Linked DNA regions of Anolis sagrei. The protein of the gene in region 1 interacts with the protein of each later gene in a biochemical or structural test. Links are inferred from orthologs where the notes say so. Each region holds a gene or a part of one and is shown in the gene's direction. Other genes may lie near its edges.

Region 1 (7,546 bases):
TTGATTATAGGTGAACTATAAATCCCAGCAACTACAACTCCCAAATGACAAAATCATAATTTTTTGAGTGATGGTCACTCTTTGTGTAGTGAGATGTTTCGTTGCCAAATTTGGTGTGATTTCGTTCATTGGTTCTTTTGTTTTTAAGGTACTCATTATGCACAGAGCATTTATATATCTATATATATAAAAATGGAAAGGGTGTTCAACGGGACAGCAAAACGCGGAAACCCCCCGACGAAAACTCACCAAATTTGCCGTGCACATACCTCAACCCACAAGGTATGCACAACGTGAATCAAAATTCCAAACAACATTTCAACAAACTCACAATTACAAAAACCAACTGAGCATGCTCAGTGCCCAGGGGAGGAAGTACACACGCAATGCACTCTGGGAACTGTAGTTCTAGAACGCATCGCTGGGGACCAGGATGCTGCGCGAACAGAGAAAGGAAGGAAGGAAGGAAGGAAGGGAGGGAGGGAGGTTGAGAAGGTATATGAAAGAAGAAAGGTAGGAAAGAAAGAATACAGAGAGAGAAGGAGGATGGGAAAGAAGGGAGAAAGGAAGGAAGGAGGAAATGAAAGAAAGATAGAAAAAAAGAAGAAAGGGAAGGGGAAGGGAAGGTGTCAAAAGGAAGGAAGGAAGGAAGGGAGGGAGGGAGGGAGGGAGGGAGGGAAGTTGAGAAGGTATATGAAAGAAGAAAGGTAGGAAAGAAAGAATACAGAGAGAGAAGGAGGATGGGAAAGAAGGGAGAAAGGAAGGAAGGAGGAAATGAAAGAAAGATAGAAAAAAAGAAGAAAGGGAAGGGGAAGGGAAGGTGTCAAAAGGAAGGAAGGAAGGAAGGGAGGGAGGGAGGGAGGGAGGGAGGGAGGGAGGGAAGTTGAGAAGGTATATGAAAGAAGAAAGGTAGGAAAGAAAGAATACAGAGAGAGAAGGAGGATGGGAAAGAAGGGAGAAAGGAAGGAAGGAGGAAATGAAAGAAAGATAGAAAAAAAGAAGAAAGGGAAGGGGAAGGGAAGGTGTCAAAAGGAAGGAAGGAAGGAAGGGAGGGAGGGAGGGAGGGAGGGAAGTTGAGAAGGTATATGAAAGAAGAAAGGTAGGAAAGAAAGAATACAGAGAGAGAAGGAGGATGGGAAAGAAGGGAGAAAGGAAGGAAGGAGGAAATGAAAGAAAGATAGAAAAAAAGAAGAAAGGGAAGGGGAAGGGAAGGTGTCAAAAGGAAGGAAGGAAGGAAGGGAGGGAGGGAGGGAGGGAGGGAAGTTGAGAAGGTATATGAAAGAAGAAAGGTAGGAAAGAAAGAATACAGAGAGAGAAGGAGGATGGGAAAGAAGGGAGAAAGGAAGGAAGGAGGAAATGAAAGAAAGATAGAAAAAAAGAAGAAAGGGAAGGGGAAGGGAAGGTGTCAAAAGGAAGGAAGGAAGGAAGGAAGGGAGGGAGGGAGGGAGGGAGGGAGGGAGGGAAGTTGAGAAGGTATATGAAAGAAGAAAGGTAGGAAAGAAAGAATACAGAGAGAGAAGGAGGATGGGAAAGAAGGGAGAAAGGAAGGAAGGAGGAAATGAAAGAAAGATAGAAAAAAAGAAGAAAGGGAAGGGGAAGGGAAGGTGTCAAAAGGAAGGAAGGAAGGAAGGGAGGGAGGGAGGGAGGGAGGGAGGGAGGGAGGGAAGTTGAGAAGGTATATGAAAGAAGAAAGGTAGGAAAGAAAGAATACAGAGAGAGAAGGAGGATGGGAAAGAAGGGAGAAAGGAAGGAAGGAGGAAATGAAAGAAAGATAGAAAAAAGAAGAAAGGGAAGGGGAAGGGAAGGTGTCAAAAGGAAGGAAGGAAGGAAGGAAGGGAGGGAGGGAGGGAGGGAGGGAGGGAAGTTGAGAAGGTATATGAAAGAAGAAAGGTAGGAAAGAAAGAATACAGAGAGAGAAGGAGGATGGGAAAGAAGGGAGAAAGGAAGGAAGGAGGAAATGAAAGAAAGATAGAAAAAAAGAAGAAAGGGAAGGGGAAGGGAAGGTGTCAAAAGGAAGGAAGGAAGGAAGGAAGGGAGGGAGGGAGGGAGGGAGGGAGGGAGGGAAGTTGAGAAGGTATATGAAAGAAGAAAGGTAGGAAAGAAAGAATACAGAGAGAGAAGGAGGATGGGAAAGAAGGGAGAAAGGAAGGAAGGAGGAAATGAAAGAAAGATAGAAAAAAAGAAGAAAGGGAAGGGGAAGGGAAGGTGTCAAAAGGAAGGAAGGAAGGAAGGGAGGGAGGGAGGGAGGGAGGGAGGGAGGGAAGTTGAGAAGGTATATGAAAGAAGAAAGGTAGGAAAGAAAGAATACAGAGAGAGAAGGAGGATGGGAAAGAAGGGAGAAAGGAAGGAAGGAGGAAATGAAAGAAAGATAGAAAAAAAGAAGAAAGGGAAGGGGAAGGGAAGGTGTCAAAAGGAAGGAAGGAAGGAAGGGAGGGAGGGAGGGAGGGAGGGAAGTTGAGAAGGTATATGAAAGAAGAAAGGTAGGAAAGAAAGAATACAGAGAGAGAAGGAGGATGGGAAAGAAGGGAGAAAGGAAGGAAGGAGGAAATGAAAGAAAGATAGAAAAAAAGAAGAAAGGGAAGGGGAAGGGAAGGTGTCAAAAGGAAGGAAGGAAGGAAGGAAGGGAGGGAGGGAGGGAGGGAGGGAAGTTGAGAAGGTATATGAAAGAAGAAAGGTAGGAAAGAAAGAATACAGAGAGAGAAGGAGGATGGGAAAGAAGGGAGAAAGGAAGGAAGGAGGAAATGAAAGAAAGATAGAAAAAAAGAAGAAAGGGAAGGGGAAGGGAAGGTGTCAAAAGGAAGGAAGGAAGGAAGGGAGGGAGGGAGGGAGGGAGGGAGGGAAGTTGAGAAGGTATATGAAAGAAGAAAGGTAGGAAAGAAAGAATACAGAGAGAGAAGGAGGATGGGAAAGAAGGGAGAAAGGAAGGAAGGAGGAAATGAAAGAAAGATAGAAAAAAAGAAGAAAGGGAAGGGGAAGGGAAGGTGTCAAAAGGAAGGAAGGAAGGAAGGGAGGGAGGGAGGGAGGGAAGTTGAGAAGGTATATGAAAGAAGAAAGGTAGGAAAGAAAGAATACAGAGAGAGAAGGAGGATGGGAAAGAAGGGAGAAAGGAAGGAAGGAGGAAATGAAAGAAAGATAGAAAAAAAGAAGAAAGGGAAGGGGAAGGGAAGGTGTCAAAAGGAAGGAAGGAAGGAAGGGAGGGAGGGAGGGAGGGAGGGAAGTTGAGAAGGTATATGAAAGAAGAAAGGTAGGAAAGAAAGAATACAGAGAGAGAAGGAGGATGGGAAAGAAGGGAGAAAGGAAGGAAGGAGGAAATGAAAGAAAGATAGAAAAAAAGAAGAAAGGGAAGGGGAAGGGAAGGTGTCAAAAGGAAGGAAGGAAGGAAGGAAGGGAGGGAGGGAGGGAGGGAGGGAGGGAAGTTGAGAAGGTATATGAAAGAAGAAAGGTAGGAAAGAAAGAATACAGAGAGAGAAGGAGGATGGGAAAGAAGGGAGAAAGGAAGGAAGGAGGAAATGAAAGAAAGATAGAAAAAAAGAAGAAAGGGAAGGGGAAGGGAAGGTGTCAAAAGGAAGGAAGGAAGGAAGGGAGGGAGGGAGGGAGGGAGGGAGGGAAGTTGAGAAGGTATATGAAAGAAGAAAGGTAGGAAAGAAAGAATACAGAGAGAGAAGGAGGATGGGAAAGAAGGGAGAAAGGAAGGAAGGAGGAAATGAAAGAAAGATAGAAAAAAAGAAGAAAGGGAAGGGGAAGGGAAGGTGTCAAAAGGAAGGAAGGAAGGAAGGAAGGGGAATTTGGGAAGGGGAAGAGGGAAAAAAGCAAAGGAAGAAGAGAAAGGGAGGGAAGAAAAGAAAGAAAGAAAAGGAAGTCTGGAAGTCAAGAGCGAAGGAAGGAAGGAAAGAGATAGAGAGGGAAGAAAGAGGAAGAGGAAGGAAAATAAAAAGGGAGGAGGAAGGAAAGAGGAAGAGAAAGAAGGAGGAGAGAAGGAAAGAAAAAGGAAAGGGAGGAAAGACGGAGCAAAGGAAGAAGAGAAAGAAGGAGAGAAAGAGGGAGGGAAGGAAAGAAATAAAGAGAAGGAAGGATGGGAGCAAAAAGCTAAGGAAGGAAGTAAACAGGTAGAGAAGGAAGAAAGGAAAGAAGAAAAGGAAATGAAGGAAGGAGTGAAAGAAGGAGAGAAAGAGGGAGAGAAGGTTGGCCACAGCAACGCGTGGTGGGTAAAGCTAGTATTATATAGATATACAGCGATGTGATATATATATACACACACACAGGCTAGCCCGCCATAGCCTTGAGCTATTAAAGTGGTGTCGAAGTGCGTTAACTCCCCAGCCCTGAATGGAAAGGAGAGCGGGGGAAAGAGAAAGAGAAAGAGCGGGCGTTTCTCTTTCCGTGGGTCACTAAACGGAGAGAGAGGGGAGGGTGTTGCTCATGCTGTGTGTGTGTATTCTGGCTGGGCTTCTCTGCGTCACGTGACTTCCAATAAGTGGTTCCTCCTGAGTTTCGCTTCTCCGCTGGCAGTGCTTAAGAGCCTCCTCGGCTTGCTTTCGCTTCACTCTGCTTCCAGCCATGGCTGAGGTGGCCAGGGCGCCCTCTCTGCCGGTCCTCTTCGGCCTGGAAGAGGAGCTGACCTGCTCCATCTGCCTCTGCCTCTTCGAGAGCCCAGTGACCACCCCCTGCGGGCACAACTTCTGCCTGCCCTGCTTGGAAATGACCTGGGGCCCCGGGAAGGCCTCAGGCGAGGGCTTCAGCTGCCCCCAATGCAGGACCCACTTCCACAGCCGCCCTGAGTTGAGGAAGAACACAGTGCTGTGCCGAGTGGTGGAGCAGTTTGGGAAGGAGCCCCTCAAGGAAGACCCGGGCCCCAAAGCGGCGGAGAAGAAGCTCCCCCAGGAGAGTCCTGTGCCTTGCGACAGCTGCTTTGGGGCCCAAGCGGCCCAGACCTGCCTCAGCTGTATGGCCTCCTTCTGCCAGGAGCACCTCCGGCCTCACCTGGAGAGCCCGGCCTTCAAGGGCCACCACCTGGTGCCCCCCGTGAGGGACCTCCACAGCAGGAAGTGCCCCGACCACGGCAAGCTCCTCGAGTTCCACTGCCAGGACCACGGCAGGTGCATCTGCTGCTTCTGCTTGGTCACCCACAAGGCCTGCGACACCGTCCCCTTGGCCCAGGCCAAGGAGGAGAAGGAGGTGAGGCGGTGGCCTCATGCAGCAAAGCTTGGAGATGAAGAAGCTATCACAGGTATGGGCACACTTGGGCCGTCCAGGTGTTTTGGACTTCAACTCCCACAATTCCTAGCAGCCTAAGGCCCTTTCCTTTTCCCCCTCAGCCGTAAGTGGCTGAGGGGTAAAAGGAAAGGGCCTGAGGCTGCTAGGAATTGTGGGAGTTGAAGTCCAAAACACCTGGACGGCCCAAGTGTGCCCGTGCCTGGTCTACACTGTCATCAAATCCAGTTTCAGAATGCACATTGACTGCATTGAACTGGGTTCTATGGTAGTGTAGAATAAAATAATCCAGTTCAATGCAGTTAAACTGCATTCTGAAATTTTATTCTAGTTTAAATGCTGGGAGTTGAAGTCACAAACACCTGGAGCAGGCATGGGTGAACTTCAACCCTCCAGGTGTTTTGGACTTCCAACTCTTATAATTCCTAACAACTGATAAACTGGGTGGAATTTCTGAAGTCCAAAACACCCGTGGGCTGAAATTTGCCCATGCCTGATTTTGGAGGAGCAAAGTTTGGCCTACACTGTAGAATGAATGTAGTGTGTTCTGAAGTCCAAAAGGCTGAAATTTGCCCATGCCTGATTTTGGAGGGGCAAAGTTTGGCCTACACTGTAGAACGAATGTAGTGTAACTCTACTTGAACTTTGATGGCTCAATGCTGTCGAATCCTAGATTGTTGAGGCCCCAGCACTCTTGACAGAGAGGGCTAAAGGCCTTGGGAAGCTGCAATTCCCAGGTTTCCATAGCCTCGAGCCAGGGCAGTTCAAGGGGTGTCAATGTGTGTTAATTCGGTCTTTCCTAAACTCGTTCTTCAGGTCTTTTGAACATCAGTTCCTGGATTCCCTGATCATTGGTCAGAGCTGTTGAGGCTTCTGGGAGTCCAAAACACCTGGAGGACTAGAGTTTGGGAATCAGCGATGCACCCCAGATTTTGTGAAAGGCCCCACTTAGACATGTTGCAAGAACTGCAGGCCCAGATTGCACAATTGTATTAGATTTTTATGGGGTGAACAAGTATTTTTTTCTTCAATTTTCATTTGCTGTATTGTTATCTTGTCTTTCTCCTGATACAGCCACTCAAGGTGGCTAGGGTTGCTTATCTTGTCTTTTGCCCCACAGAGCAGTATGTCTTGGGACTGGTCCTTGGTATCCTTGTGTGTAGTTGTTGTGTGCCTTTATATCATTTGCAGCATATAACCACCCTATTGCAGATTTTTGTTGGCAGGATTTGTTCAGAAAAGCTTTGCCATTGGCTTTCTCAGAGATTGAGAGAATATGATTGATCCAAGTTCTCCCATGGTTTGCAATATGGTTAAGTAGTTTCCAGAGGCCTAGGGCGCATCTTCACTGTGGAATTATTGCAGTTTGACACCACTTCCAGGGCTCAGTGCTGTTGAATCTTTGGATTTGTAGTTTGGTGAGCCATCCTGTGGCAGAGAAAGCTAAAGATCTTGCAAAACAACATTCTACTACATTGGCTTTCATTCCTTAGTATCCTACAGCCTAGCAATCAAATCATTGTGCTGTCGAAGGTTTTCATAGCTGAATTCACGGCGTTGCTGTCAATTTCCCAGGCTGTATGGCCATGTTCCGGAAGCATTCTCTCCTGATGTTTTGCCCACACCTATGGCAGGCATCCTTTGAGGTTGTAATGTTTTGTTCTGAGGATGCCTGCCATAGATGTGGGTGAAACATCAGGAGAAAATGCTTCTGGAACATGGCCATACAGCCCAGAAAACTTACAGCAACCCATTCAGATCATTGTTAGCTATTGGTGACAAATTACGTCCATGAAAAGAGCCAGCACAGTGTTTTGGTTTGGGTGTTGGACTAGGATTCTGGAAGACCAGAGTTCGAATCCTTGTTTGGCCATGTAAGCCCAGTTGGTGACCTTGGGCAGGCCACACAGACTTGGAGAAAAACAGTGGCAAGCGTTTTCTGAAGAAATATTGCCAAGAACACCCCATGTTGTGATTGTCTTAGAATTGCCAATCAACTTGAAAGCACATTTTGTTGTTTATTTTTTCAGTTGCTTCCAACTCTTTCTGTCTGCTGTCACCACCCCCAGCTCCTTCAAGGTCAAGCCAGTCCTTTCAAAGATACCATCCATCCATCTTGCCCTTGGTCGGCCCCTTTTCCTTTTTCCTTCCATTTTCCCCAGCATCATTGTCTTCTCTAAGCTTTCCTGTCTTCTCTTGATGTGGCCAAAGTACTTCATCTTGGCCTCTAATATCCTTCCCAGCTGGGCATTATTTCCTGGAGTATGGACAGGTTTGATCTTGCTGTCGAAAGGCACATAACAACAGCAAAACAAGTTGCCCAACTTGGAAACCA
Region 2 (8,005 bases), about 61 Mb from region 1:
GAATACATCTTGCCAACCGGAAGGCTGATAGTTTGAAGCCCGGGTCAAGGTGACCATCTGACCTTCTACCCAGCTTTTGCCATCTAGCAATTAGAAAACAAATGTGAGTAGATAAATAGGGACTGCATTAAAGTAGGGAGGTATTTTAGACACTGTTGTACCTCGGAGTAGGTTCACCTTGCTGAAAACACCAAACTGCACACAGCCAGAAGTCTTTATAGTTTATTAAAAAGTAAAAGATAAAAAGCTCTTAAAAACAAAAGTAATGTTCCAAAAGATCAATACAAAAAGCACTTTGAAGCATGATTTAAAAAGGCACCAGCAAAGCAAAATCCCATGAGAACATGACTAAATCCTGAGACCATGAACACAAGAACTGCAAGATAATCTAGACAAGCAAATACAAGCTCCTTGGTTAAATGAAAAGTTGCCCTGACAAAGGTTTGGTCCCAAACACACTGCTTAACACCCTTTGCAAAACATAAAGGTGTTTCTTTGGCCTCTGACCTCCTTCTTGTTAGCTATTCTCACACTCCTTCGAACTCTGAATTCCAAACGGTCAGCATGATCTAAGGTTCCCATTTCGTCAAGGTCAGTCTGTTCGTTAGTGTTATCCTGTTTGCCTTCCTGCTTATTATCAGGCTGAGAAATGTCCTCCTTTTCTGAATCAATTTGCACCTGCACCTGGCTAGTTTCGGTATCAACAATCTCATTTCTTGCTGTGGGAAACTGAACTTGCATCCCCTGTTCCTCATTGTCTATAACAGGGGCATTTTGGACCAGATTGTGAACTTGAATCCCATCATCCTCATCAGAGATACTCTGTGATTCCAGCTGACCATCAGAGGCACTCTGTGGTTCCAGCTCAGTCACAATAGGCATGGTGTTTCGATCAGAAAAAAGAGGAAGTTTATAAACAAAGAAACGCTCTTCAACAAGGAGATGGAGTGACAGCACTCCCTTGTGGCCGGAAATGAGCACAGCCTCCAAAGATGCCAAAAGATGGGAAAGCATGTGCGTATATACATACACACACTCCTCTATCTATTGTCCGTTTTGTCATTGTATAATCGGCACTGAATATTTGCTGTATATGTGTTCTGTGAACCACTCTGAGTCCCCTTTGGGGTGAGAAGGGCGGAATATAAAAACCATAAATTAAAATAAAATAGAAATAAACACTGATCACTGGCGATGAGTCCTGGGTTTAGGGGTATGAGCCAGAAACCAAATTGCAGTCATCACAATGGATGCATCCAACATCCTCAAAGCCAAAAAGAAAAAGGCAAGTCCAAAAAAAAGTCATGCTGACGGTCTACTTTGACTCCAGTGTTGTGGTTCATCACAAGTATGTAACACATGGTACTACCATCAACAAGGAGTACTACCAAGTGGTTCTATGTTGGCTTTGTAAACCTGTGAGACGCAAATGACAGGACCTGTAGGCAGCGGGCAATTGGCAGCTCCATCATAAAAATGCACCTTCCCATTCTTCAAATTTGATATAGAGTTTCCTGGGCAAACACAGCACACCTGTGCTTCGTCTGAGTCCCTACTTTCCCAACATGATTCCATGTGACTTCTGCGAGTGTCTCATGGCCATTACACCATTACAAAAGATGGTGAATGAAGTCTGCTTATGGTGGCCCTATGTCTACACTGTAGAACGAATGCACATCAACACCATTTTAACAGCCATGTCTCAATGCTGTGGAATAAGAGAAGTTATCATTTTATAAGGTCTTCAGCCTCTTCTGTCAAAGAGTGTTGGTGCTTGACCAAATTACAACTCCTAGGATTCCATAGCATTGAGCCATGGCAGATAAAGTGGTGTTCATTCTACAGTGTAGACACACTCATAGTCATAGTGCTGCCATAAACTGAAGGAAAAAACAAGGTAACGACTCAATAGTGGGGAAATAAACTACTACATGCACCCCTCCCAGTTTAGAAAGGGAGAGTATGGAAGGCGTGCCCTAATTTAATCCAGTTTGAGGTCCTTTCCAATCCACTCTATAAGATCCTACATTATCTGCTTTGAACTGGGATATATGGCAGTGGTGACTCAGATAACCCAGTTCAAAGCAGATATGTTGGGATTTTCAGCCTTGATATTCTGGGTTATATGGCTGTGTGGAAGGGCCCTCCGTTTAAAATTCCTGCTTAGTGTACCCAATCCTCCTAAAAATGATTCCCCCCCCCTTAGTTCTGGTTTGAATTACAATCCTGATCTATTTATATGTGTGGCAAGCATCCAGAGAATGTTATGTAATTACTTTCCTCTTGGATAAATGAAAGTGTCCTTAGTTTCTATTTCTTCAAGCCCAAGCACAGTAAAAGGAGAAGGAAACTCCTTGCATCTCCAGTCAATAATCCAGAAGGAAAGAAAACACCCTTCTGCACTATGTGTGCAAACACAACTCAGTCATTAACTTTAACATGGCTGTAACATTGGACACATATCCTTGGGAGTGAGTACGCTGTGTCCTATTCACAGGGGACGCTGTGGTTTTTAGTTCTAAATATGTTTTTATGGTTTTTAACCATTGTTGGAATACTGCCATATAATCCAGTTCATAGCAGATAATCCGGATTTTATCTGGTAGTGTAGAAGAGGCCCCATATAATCCAGTTTAAAGCAGATAATGTGGATTATATGCTTTGATGATCTGGATTATATGGCAGGGTAGAAGGGGCCAGAGGCAATGTAGAAGGTGTCCTCATTGCCATATAATTCAGTTCAATGTGGATTTTATACAGCTGTGTGGAAGGTGCCTGAGAGCCCTTCCAAACAGGCCCTATATCCCAGGAACTGATATGCCGGATGCATTTTCATTCACTGGACCAAATTTGGTCCAAATACCCAATATGTCCAAATTTGAATACTGGTGGAGTTGGGGGGAGGAACTGATTTGTCATTTGGGAGTTGTAGTTACTGGGATTTAGAGTTCACCTACAATCAAAGAGCATTCTGAATTCCACCAACAATGGAATTGAACCAAACTTGGCACACAGAACTCCCATGACTAAGAGAAAATACTGGAAGGGTTTGGTGGGCATTGACCTTGAGTTTTGGAGTTGTAGTTCACCTACATCCAGAGAGCACTGTGGACTCAAACAATGATGGATCTGGACCAACTTGGCACGAATACTTAATATGCCAAAAAGTGAACACTGGTGGAGGTTTGGGGAAAAACAGACCTACCAATTCATCACACTAGAGAATGAATCCACATTAAATCCGGCTTCTGCCTCCTGCAGAATTCTGGGGTTTGTAGTTTAGTGAGGCTGTCAAAGGCTCCTCCCTAAACTACAAACCCCAGAATTCTGCAGAAAGCAACAACCAGATTTAAGGTGGATTTATACTGTAGTGTGATGAGGCCCCCTGACATTTGGGAGTTGTAGTTGCTGGGATTTATGGTTCACCTACCGTCCAAGAGCATTCTGAACCCTACCAATGATAGAATTGGGCCAAACTTCCCACAGAGAACTCCCATGACCAACAGAAAATACTGGAAGGGCCTAGTGGGTATTGACCTTGAGTTTGGGAGTTGTAGTTCAGCTACATCCAGAGAGCACTGTAGACACAAACAATGATGGATCTGGACCAAACTTGGCAGGGATACAGAGGTGGCCGTAGGTAATTTTCAATGGTAAGCAAACAGTATTTTGGTGCCCCCTCCCCAAACCAAACACTGATTATATATATATATAAATGGATATGGGCATGGACAAATTTTGTCCAAAACACATGGAGGGCCGAAGTTGGCCCATGCCATATATATATATATATATATATATACACGCACATACATACACACACACACACACACACACACACGGATACGCAATATGCCCAAATGTAAACACAAGTGGAGTTTGGGGAAAACAGACCTTGACATTTGGGAGTTGTAGTTGCTGGGATTGATAGTTCACCTACAATCAAAGAGCATTCTGAAGTCCGCCAACGATGGAGTTGAAACAAACTTGGGACACAGAACTGTCATGGCCAACAGAAAATACTGGAAGGGTTTTGGTGGGCATTGACCTTGAGCTTTTGGAGTTGTAGTTCACCTACATCCAGAGAGCACTGTGGAATGAAACAATGATGGATCTGGACAGGCCCGTAGCCAGGATTTCGATTCGGGGGGGGGGGGGGGGGGGGGGCTGAGTTTTTTTCAGGGGGGGTTCGGGGGGGCTGAGTTTCGGGGGGGGGGGCTGAGTCTGAGTGAAAGTGGGTCTACCCTAGCAAACCTTTTGTATCATTGCCCCAGTACCCCCATGCATATGGGATATATTGAGTATGGTGATCAGATCATGATATGAATAACGTAACAGTTTAAATAATGCACCAGTAAGGCCTTTTCGCGAACCGCCATGAGAATTTCGGGGGGGGGGGGTTTAAGCCCCTCAAGCTCCCCCCCCTCCCCCCCGCTACATGCCTGGATCTGGACCAAACTTGGCAGAAATACTCAATATGCCGAAAAGCCAACACTGGTGGAGTTTGGGGAAAATAGACCTTGACATTTGGGAGTTGTAGTTTGTCTGGTTCACCTACCGACAAAGAGTATTCTGAACTCCACCTACGATCGAATTGGGCCAAACTTCCCACACCGAATCCCTATGACCAACAGAAAAAAACGTTTTTTTCTGATGGTCTTTGGCGATCCCCCTGACACTCTCCTTGCGACCCCTCGGTTGAGAAACGCTGCTGTAGAATGAATGCAACTTGATTCTGCTTGAATTGCATAGCTGGCTACTCTGAGTCCGTGGGCACCCAAGTTTTGCACAGGCTTTCGCTTGGTCCAGAGGGCTCCCCAAAGTGCAACTCCCGGGATTCCCCGGCCTGGAGATAGATCTAGCAGTTGAAGTGCTGCCAAACCTTTTCCTCCTCGACTCTCCGCCTGCTTTCGGTTTCTCTGCCTTGGGTTTCGTTTCCAGCCCGGGCTCCGCCTCTCTTCCCAGCCGGTCGGCTTCTGGAGAGGGAAAGGGAAGCCGGCGGAGGAGGAGGAGGAGGAGGAGGAGGCTGCGCCCCGGGACCCTTGCCCCCAGCCTGGGGGCCCCCTGCCTTGCTTCCTCTATAAGAGTGCTTGGGAGGCAGGGAAGAGAGCCTCGCCTTCGCCATGAGTGCCGAGGAGAAGGAGAACTTGCTCCGCTTCGGGCATTACATCCAGAAGACCCTCAACCCCGTCTACATCCTCTGCTACATGAAGGACTGGCTCTCCGATGGTCAGCATCTCCCTCTCCCTCCTCTCTCCCTTCTGCTCCCAGTGTGTGCCTGCACTTACTTATTATTATGGGTGTGCACAAGGGAGTGTATATAGGCGCGCCCCCCCCACACACACATCGCTGGGTATATCGATATAGAAGGATGTGTGTATGTATTTGTGAGTATGTTTGCATGTATATGTATATGCATGTATATGTGTATCAATATATGTGCACATAAGTGTCCACAGATGTGTGTAAGTATGCAACTCTGCCCAGGGACTGAAGACCATGTCATCATGTTGTGTATACATTTTTGCATTATGTGTATATATGTATGGGTAGGTAATGGTGCTCCATGCAGTCATGCTGGCCACATGACCTTGGAGGTGTCTATGGACAACACTGGCTCTTTGGCTTAGAAATGGAGATGAGCAGGGCCGTAGCCAGAAAATTTTTTCGGGAGGGGTTGAAATTTTCGGGGGGGGGGGGTGAAACCTGCCTCCTAGCTCACGCTGAAGCAAAGAGCACAGCAGGGGGCAGAGCAGCCTTCAATAGCCTGCCCCTCCGCCCCTGTCAACCACCTCCACCAAGTCTGGCCTCCTTAATGAGAGCATTCAACACACACACACCCAACTTGGTTGCTTCGCTACATCGGCTATTGCTGCAAGTAATGACAGTGTGAATAAATTGTCAATATTTGCCTGAGATAGTGCTTTAAGAACGGAAAACGGAACGTTGGTGGACAGGAAAAGAGATTTAAAGATGGGCTGAAAGCCAACCTTAAAAACTCTGGCATAGACACTGAGAACTGGGAAGCCCTGGCCCTTGAGCGCTCCAGCTGGAGGACAGCTGTGACCAGCAGTGCTGCAGAATTCGAGGAGGCACGAGTGGAGGGTGAAAGAGAGAAACGTGCCAGGAGGAAGGCGCGTCAAGCCAACCCCGACCGGGAACGCCTTCCACCTGGAAACCAATGCCCTCACTGCGGAAGAAGATGCAGAGCAAGAATAGGGCTCCACAGCCACATACGGACCCACAAGGAAATCCATAATGGAAGACCATCTTACTCGTCCAACGAGGGATCGCCTAAGTAAGTAAGTAAGAGATAGTGCTTGCAGTTCTGGAAGGACTCTTAATTTTTTGCATCTCATAGACTTAGCATGGGGATTTGGTTAACCAGTTAAAATTCATGAGTAAACCAGGTTTTTTAAAAAATCTGAAACATTTGGGGGGGGGGGGGGTTGAACCCCTAACCCCCCCCCTCGCTACAGGCCTGGAGATGAGCACCAACCCCCAGAGTTGGACACGACTGGACTTAATGTCAGGAGACAGCCTTTACCTTTTACCTATGTATGGGTATATATGTATGTATATGTGTGAATGTATGTGTATATGTTTGTACCTACATGCGCCCTCTATGTATGTACATGTGTGTGTCCATGTGTTCATCTGTATACGTGTATGTTGATTGAAGTTGTGGTAGGGATTGAAGACCATGTGATCATGCTGTGTATACGTTTTTCATATATGTGTATATATGTATGGGCATATATGTATGTATATTTATGTATGTATGTGCATGTTTTTGTGTATATGTGTGCCCTATATGTATGTACATGTGTGTGTGCATGTGTCCATCTGTATATGTGTGCTGTTTAACTATGTTGATTGTGGTTGTGGGAGGAACTGAAGACCATGTGATCATGTTGTGTATACATTTTTGCATATATGTGTATATATATGTATGGGTACATACAGGCCCATAGCCAGGATTTCGTTTCAGGGGGGGGGGGGCTGAATTTTTTTCAGGGGGGGGTTCGGGGGGGGCTGAGTTTCGGGGGGGGGGCTGAGTCTGAGTGAAAGAGGGTCTAGCCTAGCAAACCTTTTGTATTATTACCCCAATACCCCCATGCATATGGGATATATTGAGCATGGTGATCAGATCATGATATGAATAAACATAACAGTTTAAATAATGCACCAGTAAGGCCTTTTCGCGAACCACCATGAGAATTGGGGGGGGGGGGGGAGGAGCTGAAGCCCCTCAAGCCCCCCCCCCCGGCTACATGCCTGGGTACATATGTATGTATATGTTTATGTATGTGTATATATGTGGATGTATGTGCATACATGTGTGGCACTTTCAAACCAGGAACAGATGTTTTTCTAAATTTTGTTACATAGTGTTATAGTTGTCTCTTCACATTTGTGGGTTTCATATCTGTGAATTTGATGATTATTCACAGATTTCATTGAAATTGTTCTCTCTAGGAATCTCTAGGTTCAAAAAGTAAATCAATTTGTGTATATTTAGGGGGAGCAAGTGTGATACTTACTTGGATGTAAGTGCCATTGAATATGCTGTGACTGAATTACCATCCCTTCTCCACCCCACATGCAGCCAGCAGATTGTAACTTCTGCAAAATGCTAACACCATTTGTCAAAAACTGGGAATAGAAATGGGTTTCTGTGAGTTTTCCAGGCTGCATGGCCTTGTTTCAGAAGAAATCTCTCCTGACATTTTGCCCACATCTATGGCAGGCATTCTCAGAGGTTGGGAGGTCTGTTGGAAACCAGGCAACTAAGGTTTATATATCTGTGGCATGTCCAGGGTGGGAGAAAGAACTCTTGTCTGCTTGAGGCAAGTGTGAATGTTGCAATGGGCCACCTTGATTAGTGTTGAATGGCTGCTTCTTGCCTGGGAAAATCCTTTGTTGGAAGGTGTTAGTTGGCCCTGATTGTTTCATGTCAGGAGATATTTTCACCTCATCAGAAGTGACCTGAAGATGGGACCGA
Region 3 (7,488 bases), on another chromosome or scaffold:
GTTGGACTGACTGTGCTGGTTCAAGATTCCTTGGATCCCAGAATTTCAAGTACAAACTAAAGCATGTCCTAAATCTGCCTACTGAAAAATAATGGAACTTGCTGTGAGCCTAAAAGTCAGGCTTAGAGTGTTCTTGGGAAGATTTCTACTGTGTGTGTGTGTGTGTTACTATTGCCTTTATCTTGTGTATGAGTCTTCTTTAAAGTTACAGAAAGGGCTTTTTCCATTAGAGCTGCCGCAAACTAGCCTCCTGCGGGAGCAAACTGTGCCAGCACGTCCCTGACGTCATGAGACTGCGCCTCTCTCTCCGCCCCTTTCTCTGTGCCAGAGTGGTTTTTCCTTTGCTAGGGCAGCATTGCCAGCGTACTCTTGTTGTTGACATAAGGCCCGTCGCAAACTCTTTTCCTGCGAGAGAAACCTTGCTAGCAAGTCCCTGACGTCACGAGCCTGCGCCTCTCTCCCCGCCCCTTTCTCCGCCCCTTTCTCTTTGCGAGCGTGGTTTTTCCTTTGCTAGGGCAGCATTGCCAGCGTACTCTTGTTGTTGACATAAGGCCCGTCGCAAACTCTGTTCCTGCGAGAGAAACCTTGCTAGCAAGTCCCTGACGTCACGAGCCTGCGCCTCTCTCCCCGCCCCTTTCTCCGCCCCTTTCTCTTTGCGAGCGTGGTTTTTCCTTTGCTAGGGCAGCATTGCCCGCATTTTCTCTCAGTTGAATTCTGCCAACTGAGAGAAAATGCGGGCAATGCTGCCCTAGCAGAGGAAAAACCACGCTCGCATGGAGAAAGGGGCAGAGAAAGGGGCGGGGAGAGAGGCGGAGTCTCGTGACGTCAGGGACTTGCTAGCAAGGTTTCTCTCGCAGGAACAGAGTTTGCGACGGGCCTAATTCAACAACGAGAGTACGCTGGCAATGCTGCCCTAGCGAAGGAAAAACCACTCTGGCATGGAGAAAGAGGCGGAGAAAGGGGCGGAGAGAGAGGCGCAGTCTCACGACGTCAGGGACGTGCTGGCACAGTTTGCTCCCGCAGGAGGCTAGTTTGCGACGGGTCTAACAGTCCATTAAAATAGAACTGATACCGATACAAAGGTCTGATGTAAGCAAGGTAGATGTAACTTCAAAGGATGTTTTGATTTTTGACAGTTGAAGGAAATGAACAACAACAAAATTTAACAATAAATATTTAACAGTGTGATAGCGCTGAGTGTGGCTAGGGTGTATCAGTGAATTTGTGTGTACATTGTCAACAACCTTTCAGTGCTTCTGCTGATGACTCGTCTCTTTGGCTTTAATATCACATGAGTTTTTGAATAAACAGAAGTTGTGGTTTCAGTTCTGCCTTATGCTTGTTATTTGAGCAACATAAGGAAGAATTTCTGTTTATATATTGTTAATTTCTGTTGTTGTTGCTGTGTTCTTTCAATTGTTCCCAACATATGAACATCCTATGATGACCCTATCACAGGGATTTCTGAGGCTGAGAGTGTGTAACTCCCCTAAGGTCTCCCAATGGGTTTCTATGGCTGAATGTGGAGTCAAATGTGCAAATCACACTGGTTCCTTAATTTTTGGAAGGTACTGTCTTTTTTAGATCCATGATTACATTTGTTCGGAAACAAGAGGGAGTTTCTGATTTCCTATTTTCCCCGTGAGATTCCCTAGGGTACACCTACACTTTAGCATTAATGTATTTGACACCACTTTAACCATCATGGCTCAGTGCTATAAAACCCTGGGATTTGTTTTTTAGTGAGGCACCAGCACTCTTTGGCAGAGAAGACTAAAGATCATGATAAAAGTACAACTCCCAGAATCCCATGGCATTGAGCCATGGCAGGTACACTTTGGAAGTATCTATTTGAAGGCTTTCTGTTGTGTTCTTCACCCAAAAGTATCTGCAAAGAGTGGATGTACAGTCTGGATGGGGGCGAACAAATTGAAATTGAATCCAGACAAGACAGAGGTACTCCTGGTCAGTCGTAAGGCCGAACAGGGTATAGGGTTACAGCCTGTGTTGGATGGGGTCGCACTCCCCCTGAAGACACAGGTTCGCAGTTTGGGTGTGATCCTGGACTCATCGTTGAGCCTGGAACCCCAGGTTTCAGCGGTGACCAGGGGAGCATTCGCACAGTTAAAACTCGTGCGCCAACTGCGCCCGTACCTTGGGAAGTCTGACTTGGCCACGGTAGTCCACGCTCTGGTTACATCCCGTTTAGACTACTGCAATGCTCTCTACGTGGGGTTGCCTTTGAAGACGGCCCGGAAGCTCCAATTAGTCCAACGCTCGGCAGCCATGATACTAACTGGAGCGGAGCACAGGGAGCATACAACTCCTCTGCTGCACCAGCTCCACTGGCTGCCGATCTGCTACCGGGCTCAATTCAAAGTGCTGGCGCTGGCCTTTAAAGCCCTAAACGGTTCTGGCCCAACTTACCTATCCGAACGTATCTCAACCTATCAGCCCACCAGAACCCTAAGATCTTCTGGGGGGGCCCTGCTCTCTATCCCGCCTGCTTCACAGGTGCGGCTGGCAGGGACGAGAGACAGGGCCTTTTCTGTGATGGCCCCGCGGCTATGGAACGCCCTCCCCATGGAGGTAAGATCAGCCCCCTCATTGATGGTTTTCCGGAAAAGACTAAAAACCTGGATGTTCGAGCAGGCGTTCGGTTAACTCAGTGCAATAAGTGTAATGATTGAAGGACTGGCAATTTGGACGACGAAACTGGATCGCGATTTTAGTCAAGAGATGAATTGGATGGTTTATTGATATATGTATTGTGGATCGTGTTTTTATGCTTTTAAACTGTATACTGTTGTTTGTTATAAGTTGTGTAAACCGCGTTGAGTCGCCGGCTAGGCTGAGAAACGGCGGTATACAAGTATAGCAAATAAATAAAATAATAATAAATTTATTGGTATCTGCCTGCTGTTAATAAATAGGCAAAACCAAAATGGTTCCCCACAGTTCCTCCCCTTGTAGTGCCACAAAAAGGAATGTTTGAAAAGGAAAATTCAATTCCATTTGTAATTACTGTCTGATAATAATAATAAAATTGTTATTATAATATACCAAAAATGATAATTTTATGACAGCTAAAATTATACTTACCATTTTTTTCTGTTCTTAAAGTAAGAACAGAACAGTCTGGTTGTTATTATGTGTCTTCCAAATGTTATTTTCAGTGTATAGAGATTAAATCATAGGGTTTTCATGGTAATTTTTTTCAAAGGAGGTTTGCCTTTGCCTTCCTTTGAGGCTGAGAGAGTGAGGCTTCCTGAAGATTCCATGGTTGAGAAGTAACTCTTTCAAGCTTGGATATGAGGACTAGGTAGCCTCCATGGCATGGTGATGCCTGGAATATCCTTTGAGCATCAGTGGGGCCCCTCTCCATAGTTGTAGAGTGAAAATGGTCAACTAGGCCATTAGTTCTGAGAGTGCCTTGGACTGCGAGAAGATCCAACCAGTCCATCCTCCAGGAAATAAAGCCCGACTGCTCATTGGAGGGAAGGATACTAGAGACAAAGCTGAAGTACTTTGGCCACATCATGAGGAGACAGCAAAGCCTAGAGAAGACAATTATGCTGGGGAAAGTGGAAGGTAAAAGGAAGAGGGGCCGACCAAAGGCAAGATGGATGGATGGCATCCTTGAAGTGACTGGACTGACCTTGAAGGAGCTGGAGGTGGTGACGGCTGACAGGGAGCTCTGGCGTGGGCTGGTCCATGAGGTCACGAAGAGTCGGAGATGACTGAACGAATGAACAACAAAGGCCATTATTTATTTGCAGATTTTAATCCTGCTGATTGGCCTAGGGCAAACTAATCCAATTTATTTATTTTTTATTTGTCGTATCAGAAGTGAACTGAGGGTACAGTTGTAATATATTTTAAAAAACACAAAGTTTTAAAAACTTGGCCTTGTACTAAATGTCCTTCGACTAATAGCTGGCCACTTGGAGTGCCTCTGGTGTTGCTATAAGAAGGTCCTCCATTATGCACGTGGCAGGGCTCAGACTGCATTGCGATAGGTGGTCTGTGGTTTGCTCTTCTCCACACCCGCATGTTGTGGACTCCACTTTGTGGCCAGAAACTAATACAATGTACATTTTTTAAAAGCCAAGCCAAAACATGACAGTTAAAATCAGTACTGCCCCACCACCCTGTAATCCTAAATAAAACAGTCCTAAATCCTAAATAAAACAAGAATGATGACATTCGCTCAAAATGCAATTCAGTCGCCAAGAATTTTTGATAAATCACCCTTTGCCTCCCTTTAGGTCAGGTGGTGCTATCAATGATCTACCTTTGTTGACTTTCTGTTTCCAGCATTCATATGACAGAGTTAAGTTGCCAGGGAGTTACTTGTCTTCAGTTTCGATTCTCTTCGGAGTTGCAGGGAAAATAGGTGGAGCCTAGGTTGGTCTGACTTGAAACCAAACAACTCTTTAACAGACAGGTGGACAGACCAGAGATTGATCATGACTGATCCGGTTGTGTGTAGTTTTATCACCAAGATCCTTTGCTCCATGGGGGGCAGCTCAAGTTATCAGGAGATTCTTCCTGTTTTGGGGCTTCCCGACCACCAGTTAAGGCAGATCTTGGAGCAATCTGGGGAGGAAAGATTTCTGGTCAATGAGCAAGGCACCTCGTCTCAGGTGCTGGCAATCTCTCCGGTGCGTCTGTGTCTGAGGAATGAGTGTGATGGGTGCGAACGTCTTCATATTTGCAAGAACTACATCAAGAAGAAATGTTTCAGGCCTGCTCGTGGCAGATGGTGAGTTGCGGGGTGAGGTTAGAAAGAAAGAGAGAAGAAAAAGAAAAGATGGAAATGAGGAAGGCAGCTTTTGATAGCATTGAAAGAGATAAAAATGGATGTGAGTGGACTGGTACATTGTGACATGGTAGCCAACTCTCAAGAGAGAAAAGAGACAAAAGTCAAAGCAAATGTAGTTTCTGTCTGTTTTCTTCATTAGCCTCAAGTTCAACTGGCACTGCTTAGTTCAGTGGTTTCCAACCAGCGAACTGTGTACCACCGGTGTTCTGCAAGAACTAAAATATGGTCTGTGGCCTCACCATTACTACACTATTGCAACAAGAGCGACTGGTCTCGCAAAACCCTGTCATAGTACCGAGGCTTATTAAATATTGTTTTCTGTGGGTGAACAGATGGTAACTACTCGATGGCATATGTTCTGTATCAGAACTAGAGCTGATGTGGTCTATCTAATGCAATTTTCTGAATCAGCACCCCAAATAACCAAACCAAATTTAAAATTGACCAAAAACTGATTTGTAACCCTTTTGATACTAATGTTGGAGAGTGGTCCCTGGTCAGAGAGATCCCTAGTCAAAAAGGTTTGGGAATCACTGGTTTAGTTAGAAGGCATGAAAGACAAACGTCACCCAGCAACTATAGTGAGATAGCTCACTTTACACCTAAATAATGTTGTTGTTGTTGTGGACCAATAGGATAAACCAGAAGAATAAAGACTAATGTAATTTTGGAAATTTGACCCCATTTACTCTCAAATGAATGTGTGTTAGGTAATGGATTTGAATTTTCAGCTGTGCTCAAATTATAGGTTTTGTGAATGTATTTCAAAAGAAAAGCCATGTTTCAGAATGAACAAATCCATTGTATTATTACTAATAGTTGTTGTATAATACTAATAGTTGTTGTATCTCGGTGGTGGCCCCTCGGCTGTGGAACGCCCTTCCCATGGACATTAGATCAGCTCCCTCATTGATGGTATTTCGGAGAAAAGTGAAAACCTGGTTATTTGAACAGGCGTTTGAATAGGCAGTGCAATGAATTTTAGGAAATGGAACTATGGACGACGAGTTTGGATCATGATTCTAGTTATGAGATGCCAATGAATGAATGTTTATTGTTGTTTAATTGCTTAGTCTGCTATTGTGTTAATTGTTAATTGTTTTTAAATACCTTGTTATGCTGCATTGAATTTTTGCTATTTTGTTGTTAACTGCTATGAGTCGCCTAAGGGCTGAGAATAGCGGTATACAAGTGAAGTAAATAAAATAAAGAAATAAGGAAATAATTTGTACACTTACTGATACTTGTGCCTTTGTTGGGAATGAATGTGTAAATAGACCTCTGGTTTTAAGATGAGCAAGGGCTTAGAGCAGGGGTCCTCAAACTAAGGCCTGGGGGCCGGATACAGCCTTCCAAGATCATTTACCCGGCCCTCGCTCAGGATCAACCTAAGTCTGAAATGACTTGAAAGCACACAACAACAACAATCCTATCTCATCAGCCAAAAGCAGCCCCACACTTCTCATTGATATTTGAGTTTATATTTGTTAAAATTGTTCTTCATTTTAATTATAACATTGTTTTAAAGTGTTTTTTGCACTACAAATAAAACATGTGCAGTGTGCATAGGAATTCATTCATGCTTTTTTCAAATTATAATCCGGCCCTCCAACAGTTCGAGGCACTGTGACCTGGCCCCCTGTTTAAAATGTTTGAGGACCCCTGGCTTAGAGGCTTGCAATAGGTCTCGTTTCTGGTTTTGGTGTAATCTGAGAACCTCTCTTGCTGTGGACTCCAAATGGGAAATCCCAGGATTCCATAGGAAGTTGACATGATAATATGTAACAAAATTTGGAGAGAAAAAAATCTGTTCCCGGTCTGCAAGTGTTATTTCCTGTTTAATTGTACGGTACTCACTTTGAAAGTAGTTGTTATACCCTAGAAACTTTGTTTTTGTGGCTGCCACAAACTATGTTGAATTGATTGAGACCTTATGAGATACTGAAAAACTATAGTAAATTTTCCCACTTCTTATCCTATGTGATTTGGTTCATACATGAAAGTTAACAACTGAGGTGTAGAAGGGGAGACCTTTGAAAAACTAGACCTGTTTTGGCATTCATATTGTGTGCTGCATTAACGTGCTCAGGGAGAGTGACATGGTTCCTGATAATATGGACATTCATTAATGGGTGATGGCAGTGGTGGCTAATAGTCATAATAATGGTTTTCCTTGAGGTTGTGAGTGCGGAAGGAGGGCTCAAAGTTCATCCCTTTCCATGTTTTTATCCCATGGCAAATGTCTTTCTTCGTACCTATAAAACTACTGTGAAACAACTTTGAGATTTTCAGGAAGCTTGTCCCTGTGTCTACAACTACATTTGGCACAGAGTCACAATAAACAGAAGCCTTGTCTTTGAGACAATATGGGGACGCTTTATATATCTTTGTTATTCTTCATAAATTCTATGCAAATTGGAAGTAAATTAGTTTGCCATGCTCAGAAATCACCATTGTGATTGTTTGAAAACAATTTAAAAGGAGAGCTGGAAATACGTTGAAAACAATTTAAAAGGAGAGCTGGAAACACCAGGGCACCAACTTCTGACTTCCTGGTATAAAAAAAGAAAAACATGAACTGGAAAATTGAGTGGAGGGAGGATCCCTCTCCCTCCCTTTGTGTATAAGAGAGTTGAAGGTTTTATTCTTACTTGAGCCAATTT

The links.
Region 2: of the proteins of TRIM25 (region 1) and RIGI, one has a biochemical effect on the other in vitro, tested with the Homo sapiens proteins (5 studies listed by BioGRID, with this or other methods). The link is inferred for Anolis sagrei from reciprocal best matches to the Homo sapiens genes TRIM25 and RIGI.
Region 3: of the proteins of TRIM25 (region 1) and protein mono-ADP-ribosyltransferase PARP12-like, one has a biochemical effect on the other in vitro, tested with the Homo sapiens proteins (2 studies listed by BioGRID). The link is inferred for Anolis sagrei from reciprocal best matches to the Homo sapiens genes TRIM25 and ZC3HAV1.

The regions. Positions count from the first base shown.
Region 1 is NC_090022.1:144,128,753-144,136,298, reverse strand, and holds the start of TRIM25 (E3 ubiquitin/ISG15 ligase TRIM25), read left to right. Parts: upstream 1-4,453; 5' UTR 4,454-4,557; coding exon 4,558-5,175; intron 5,176-7,546.
Region 2 is NC_090022.1:205,270,194-205,278,198, reverse strand, and holds the start of RIGI (antiviral innate immune response receptor RIG-I), read left to right. Parts: upstream 1-4,973; 5' UTR 4,974-5,123; coding exon 5,124-5,229; exon of another isoform or gene 5,230-5,270; intron 5,271-8,005.
Region 3 is NC_090025.1:101,486,847-101,494,334, reverse strand, and holds the start of protein mono-ADP-ribosyltransferase PARP12-like, read left to right. Parts: upstream 1-4,403; 5' UTR 4,404-4,469; coding exon 4,470-4,765; intron 4,766-7,488.